2 linked regions of the Daphnia pulex genome follow. The protein of the gene in region 2 purifies or fractionates together with the protein of the main gene of each other region. This does not show direct contact. Links are inferred from orthologs where the notes say so. Each region holds a gene or a part of one and is shown on either strand. Other genes may lie near its edges.

Evidence for each region.
Region 1: the proteins of NF-kappa-B inhibitor-like protein 1 (region 2) and RNA-binding protein with serine-rich domain 1-B-like purify together in Homo sapiens (co-immunoprecipitation; 3 studies listed by BioGRID and IntAct, with this or other methods). This does not show direct contact. The link is inferred for Daphnia pulex from reciprocal best matches to the Homo sapiens genes NFKBIL1 and RNPS1.

The regions. Positions count from the first base shown.
Region 1 is NC_060025.1:2,684,504-2,688,127, forward strand, and holds RNA-binding protein with serine-rich domain 1-B-like, read right to left. Parts: upstream 2,309-3,624; 5' UTR 2,227-2,308; coding exon 2,225-2,226; intron 2,124-2,224; coding exon 1,974-2,123; intron 1,918-1,973; coding exon 1,759-1,917; intron 1,692-1,758; coding exon 1,327-1,691; intron 1,267-1,326; coding exon 1,131-1,266; intron 1,067-1,130; coding exon 907-1,066; 3' UTR 693-906; downstream 1-692. Other genes in the region: transmembrane protein 11, mitochondrial-like, read left to right, coding at 2,577-2,599, 2,681-2,901, 2,968-3,080, 3,142-3,315; dehydrogenase/reductase SDR family protein 7-like, read right to left, coding at 3,404-3,624. UniProt on the Homo sapiens protein: Part of pre- and post-splicing multiprotein mRNP complexes. Auxiliary component of the splicing-dependent multiprotein exon junction complex (EJC) deposited at splice junction on mRNAs.
Region 2 is NC_060018.1:4,543,929-4,547,220, forward strand, and holds NF-kappa-B inhibitor-like protein 1, read right to left. Parts: upstream 2,137-3,292; 5' UTR 2,020-2,136; coding exon 1,710-2,019; intron 1,651-1,709; coding exon 866-1,650; 3' UTR 804-865; downstream 1-803. Other genes in the region: mitogen-activated protein kinase p38b-like, read right to left, coding at 1-30, 100-206. UniProt on the Homo sapiens protein: Involved in the regulation of innate immune response. Acts as negative regulator of Toll-like receptor and interferon-regulatory factor (IRF) signaling pathways.

The sequences.
Region 1 (3,624 bases), on a different chromosome or scaffold from region 2:
TACAATTATCGTGATGCTCATGTCTACGATTTAACCGGTTGGGGATCGAGGTGCAAGTTGATTCAGCCGTGGAAGAGATTGTGGTCGAAGAAAAAAAAAACAAACAAAATATTCTCAAAAACATTTCCAATGCGATTCGCTGACTGCTAAGAGGATAATAAGAACCAAACAGACTTCCGTAATTGAGTACAGCTGTGCAAACAAATTTGTTCCAACTGTTGGGCGCGCCGTTGCCGGATGTAGGAAGACAACACAATTTACCAAATCGACTTTTTCATAGGAGGAAAAAAGCAGTTAGAAACAGCTACATTCCGGTTGTGAGAAATTTCTACCCTCCCCCTGATAAAAATTTGCTGTTCCTTTCTTTGTGTTTATAACACCGAGGCGAAACCGTATCTCCCGCCTTTCACATGTCACTTGTAAACCGGAATGAAAGTGTTCTGACTTGTCATGTCCCGCTACACACACTTCTATTGAGTTTCCAACAAACAGATCCAACTAGTTTTTTTTTAAGGCTTATCCGGTTTCTCCTCCAGCAGCCATTGACTTTAAAAAGAAAGCATTACTACTCGGATTACTGGAAAACGTCAGATGGCAACATAAACTTGCGGTTGGGTAACTTTTTAAATTGATAGATAAAATAATAATAAGACTTTTCATTTCAAATGAAAAAGAAATGTAGTAGAAACAACTGAAGGACAAATGCCATTGTCAGGTGATATTGTATCGTCTTGCAGGATTCCATCGAAAAAGGGAAAATTTACGGAATACGTGTGGCATTTACGCTATTGACTCATCAGCAACAGCTCGGGCGAAAGCAAAATCTGAATCACGAGCACAAAGTTGAGTTGATAAAAAAAAAAGAGTGGACGTTCTTCAACGTTAAATAAATCATGATTGTCTTATTTAACGCGAAGAAGATGATGAACTGCGACTGTAACGGCGATTGTTGCCACCTGAACGGCGATTGGGTGAACGAGACCTGGAACGGGCAGGTGGAGGTGGTCTCCTATCTCTGTCCCTTCGTGGAGGAGATCGTCGACGTAGGGGAGAACGTCTTCGGAATCTGTAGAAATGAACACAACAGATGCAAATAACCGGAATAAAGATTTACTTTAGTAGTATATTACCTTGGTGGAGATCGACCACCACCCATGCCCCAACGGCCCGGTCGATTTCTGGGTGGTGAATTCCGTCGAGGTGGTGGTGGACGGTTTTTAGGGATCAGCACAGGGGCGGCTGTGATTTCTTGTCCATCAATTTGGCCTAGAGATTATTTGAGATTAAAAACGTATTTATAGCAGTAACCAACAAACGTTACTTTACCTCCGTCCATATGCTTCATTGCATTTTCTGCTTCGTCGGCAGTACTGAACTCGATGTAAGCAAAGCCCCGGTGGAGGTGACTTAACCCAGCACGTTCGTTGGGAAACTCGACAGCTTTGATGGTTCCGTAAACGGAGAAAATTTCGTTAATGTGTTCCTTGTTGACATTGCGCGTCAGTCGGCCGATGTGGATTCGAAGTGGCTTGGGTGTAGGTGAACGATCGCGACGACGCCTCCGGGGAGATGTAGAGCGGGATCGTTTGTTTTCTTTGTTTCTGTCTTTGTCAACATTCTTTTCTCCATCCAGTTTTGTTTTCTCTTCATCAGGTTTGCTATCAACTTTTGGCTTATCACTCGCTGGGGCTCTGTACGTCAACAAAAATGCTGTTATCACAAGAAACTTGTTTACCGTCATCCAACTAGAATAATTACCTCTTTTTCTGGTGCTTCTTTAATGAACCGCTGGAACGTGAGGAACCTGATGAATCAGAAGAGCTAGATGAACTAGATGATGATCTAGAGTCTGAAGAAGAACTGCTGGATGATCGTGAACTAGAGCTGCTGCTACTGCTGCTGCTGGACGATCTAGAACTGAAATGTCACATTAAGCTGAAGGTTTCATTAAACACAACAAAGTTTAACACTACCTTCTGCTTGAAGAACTATCACTGCTTGAAGCTCTGCCTTTTTTCTTCCCAGAATCTTTGGTATCCTTTTTGTCTTTGCTAGCATCTTTTGATTTACTGGAATCTTCGCCGGCTTTCCGGTCTTTTCGATCGCCAGTTTCTTTGTCCGGCCTAAGTGATTTACACAAATTTAAAATATTGTTAATTTAGATTCATCGTAAAAATTTACTAAATTATTAAATGATGCTGAGGATTTAACTCGATTTACTCACATTTTCAGAAAGTTTTATTGAAAAACATACGAGTTGATAAAGGGGAGGAGCGTTAAAAACAGACGCTTAATGCCACTTGCACAACGTTGCCTGTATTAAATAGATTCTCGTTTTTATTTTTATGAATGTAAAGTTATAGTTTTTTAATTGGAACAAGTTATGTGAATTTTTTAAAGATTAAATCAAAGATTATTTAATTTTTTATTATTAAAATGTTAAACTAGTTGTACGACAGCCGACGGCAACGAAAAAATGTTTCGGCAATGATTGTTTTTGGGCTGTTGCCGAAACTCTACAAGGCCGTCAGTACGTATAGCAACCACTTGAAAACACTGGCCAAGTGGCAAAAGAAATGGCAGACAGGAGAAAGAGCAGGTAATCCCTTGCATGACTGTTTAAAAATATTATAAGCTTCCGGTCGTCACAATAATATTATGATGCTGTTTCAAATTTTAGCGGGCCACATTCGGCGGAAATAGCGGTCGTAAGAGAAATCTATGACGGTGAAAACGCCCAGGAAAGATTTGAGCTAGAACTAGAACGAGCTCTGGAAGCTGCTGTTCCAGTAATTGTCATTGAGCCAGTTCGACTAGGCGATGAAACGGCGCGATGGATCGCCGTTGGAAATTGTCTTCACAAGACAGCAGTACTTGCTGGACTTGGTTCGGTCATAACAGGTAAATTGTTGCTAGTATTCAGTTGTTGCATTATATAAGTCTAATTTTGTTAAATTTCCTGTTTAGGATTTTTCTGTGATAATCGTCCATACATATACACTCCATTAGGTCTCCTTTCCTTGCTGTGTACAGGACTGTACACAGCATCTTGGCAATTTGATCCTTGCTGTAAATACCAGGTAGAATACATACACTTGACTAAGTTGGCAAAGGTCATAGCAGATATCGGTTTTGCTTCAGGTTGAAATGGATACAAAAAGACTGGCCAAATTACCAGTTAATAGGTTGACCACTTCCAGTCCCATAGTTCTCGTAAGAAGAGATGATAACAAACGGAAGACTCTTCATTGCACCATCTGTGTTACAGCAGCTAGCATTACCCTTTGGAAGCTGTACTTTATTGCCTTCAAGTAGTCTTGTTATAAAGAAAACTTCCCAAATGTACAAACTGAACAATACATCCTTATTATATCAGAATGTATTAGAGATTCTCTACTAGAAATTAACGACTTTTTTTGCTCTTGGCCGCTCGACGCGCCATAAGTTTGAAATAAACGTTGGGTAGAATTGCACGAAGAAATACTGCTAAACGATAAAAGAGTGAGCAGAGCATCAGCTCTTGGGTTTTTTCCTTAATTGCAATGACAATTTCATATGCAGCTTGGAGTGGATCCGCTCCCGACTCCGTAGTTTCATCCGTCTGTCCATATTTGTCTCCTCGGC
Region 2 (3,292 bases):
TTGTTCTCTGTTCTTGAGTCAACTGCCGAGCTGGGTATACAAAAAAGATTTATACAATACAAATAATCAGTGTTACATAGTTTAAACTTTAAATCTTACCACACTTGTCCATAAGCACCTGAGCCTACAGGTGATAGCATTTGATAGCTGTCTGGGACTTCCCATTCTGTTTTATTTAAATCAATCTTATAAAATCCTGTTCTCATTTTGCTGTTTTTTATGATTTTCAAAAAAACATCAAAACAGAAGTAAACAAAGGAAACAAGGAGTTTGATCGAACAAAGGCGAAATCAAAACAATCAAAACCTCACAAGAATGAACAGGAAATTATAACTTCTACTCAGCCAATTAACAGACGACTAATCGCTCCATCTGTTATATTGAGAATCCATATCTACTTTTTGCGATCAATTATTCCCGTGGGTATAATAAACGCATTACTTTTCCAAGATAACCCGTACATATAATTGTTTAAATTTTCGATTTAAGTCTCATATCACGTATTCATTAGTTTTCCTTTTCATTAATCATTGAAAAAAAAAATGATTAAGAATTGATTAGGTGAACAATATAGGGGAATCGTACAACGTTGCACGGTTTAAGCAAAGCGTTACTTGGTAAGTTGCTGAAACCTTCGGAAACTGTCTTGCGGGGTTTTTCAAGAAAATTTCGTTTTTTCTTTCTATTAAAATCTAAAAACAAGAAACAGGTTTTCAACGAAGGCTCCGAATTCCGGTTTATCTAATCTACTGTGCTTCGAACGCTTGTTAAAATAAAAATTGAATTTGATGGTTTTTAAAATATTACTTTCTGGAAAATATTTAATGTTTTTTTTTATTTACACAGCACAAGAATTTTGTCACTTTCACTTGTTAGTGACTGTAGAAACGCAGTTAAATGCATTCAAATATTGAGAAATTTCAGTAACTTTTTTCATAACATTTTCACGTATTTCTTCTTTTAAACGCACGCCAAATTTCTGAGAAAATTTATCTGGATGCCAAAGTCGCTGCAGCTCGCGCAATGCCTTCCTCTTGGCGTCAGGATCTACCAAATCCTTGACGTGCGCCAATATAAGTTGTCCAATCGATTCAACATCATCTGTGGGCTTAAATGGGAGGTCTGATATTTCAATTTGATCTTCAGTTTGAATCAACAAACTAAGTTTGGTAAGGAATGTAGTAAGCTTTTGAGTAGCTTTAGCCTTTTTTCGAAATTCATTCCGCATTTCTTCATCCCGCAAGAATTGCTGTTGATCTTCCGTAGACCAGGATGGCTTCAATTTTGGTGGGGATGGTGGTGTAATATGAAACTTTTGATATGACATTTTTTTCTTATGCTCATCAATCATTCTTTTGGCCCAGGAGTCATAAGATTCTGTTTCATTTACATCCTCTTGAACAAAATCTTCTTCATATTTTCCCCAGTGACTTCCATATTCATCATCTAGTTCTGCTGAAAGTTTCTTCTGCCATTCTTTTTCATCTTTCTGTTGAGAAAACTCTGTCTTTTTTTCATTTCCTCCTAAATGATACTCATAGACAGAATCAGCAAGATCCAAAAGATCTTTGGCAGTTTGGCCTTCCAGATTAGGTTGTGTTAATGAAACAGCCATTTCTTTAAGATGAGCAAGTATCATTTTCCTGTAAGCTAAAATATTTGAATGTACTAGTTTCTTTATTTACTATAGATTTCGAAAAATAACTTACCAGTTAAATATTCATTTCTCCCGTCAATTTTCATGATAGCTTTCAATGCCAGGTGAAGTGGTGTGTTGCCCTTGCAATCCATTGAAGTTGGGTCTCCAAGAGAATTTTCCAACAAGAACGCAACAATCTCATGTTTTCCTTGTCGACACGCCAGATGTAACAATGTTTCTCCTTTTTTGTTGACACCTATCTCGTCCAGGTGGAGTTTAGCATACTTCCTTCTTCTTGCGTAATGTTTCAGTTGTTCAACATTATTGGATTTAACGCAACTGATCAGCCTGTCAAACCGCTTCTTCGTTTTCGATGACATCGGAAAACATAAATAAAAACCAAGTTGTCTAAGTTACAATGTAAAGATTACGGAAGTAAAGGAACTCGAGCTTTTCTACATTTTTATTTTTGTTTTAATTCGTCTGCTATTTGTTAGTGTTGCCATTTGTTAAGTTGCGGATTAAAGTTTCGTTGACAGTCCAATAATTTTTCAGAACCTATCACAAAAAAATATTTATTGAAATTTGATACTTTGAAAAATTTATATCAGTTTTTAAAATAAAGTTTTACCGGTCCAAAGTTCGATTTGGAAAAGAATCAAAAAGTTCTCTCCCTCTTCGTATTCCATGTTGCCACGTTCAGAGAAAACATGGCGCTAGGCGTATTGTGACGCGAAGAAGTTGGTTTCTAGCTCTACGCAGTGAAAACTGACATTTTTAAAGTTTATTTGCACAGATAAAGCAAAACTACAAATAGTTTGTGTACAACACGTTTAAACTGTGAAGACTTGATCGGAGAAGGTCTAATTCGGAGTATTGGGAGGAATCTAAGGTTGAGGGACATTTTTGACAGCTTTGTTCCTTTTTCCTTCATGGACATCCATTTAGCAGGACTTCATCAACTGTCTGGTAATTGCCTTTAGGTTTATTTGTTATCAAGAAATTGTATATCTTAAAAATCTGTTTTTATCACGCTTAAGATGTTTTACTATGTACCCAATTTTATATTGGGCGTAAAGCCAGGGGAAAAGCTAAAGTGCATTATACCATTATAACCAACCACTTAAGTGATTGAATGTAAAGCAGAATAGAGATTTTCTTACTAGTGTACAGGAAACATATCTAAATTTTCTTATTTTTTCAATTATCAAATGATTATACTGTAACATTGTGTTTACTACTACCTCAGATGGGTTTCCCGCAATAACCCTAGTTGTGTTTAATGTAGCTCAAGTTAATTTCTTTATAATGGGTTCAAGAGTTCAGTGTGCAAAAGAATTTATTCAGCAGGTCAGGCACCTTTTTCCCCTCATTCCCACATCTATTATGTCATTAGGCAACAAAGCAAAAGCAGCTTCCCTTATCTTCCCCTGATTGTTTCTTTGTTTCAGATCGTGTATAAAACGTCTCCTTTTCGCTGATGCAAAGGACAAATAGTTTCGTACAAAAAAAAAGGTTTTGTTTTCATATCCGCTTTAATAAACTGGGTTGGATGATTTGCGATGTTATCGATTTCTAAGTTATCAGTTGCGTGGGAAAATGTTAGCTTGAACGTTAGTTGCGGGAGAGAAAAAGGAAAGCTTGCTTTCAGCT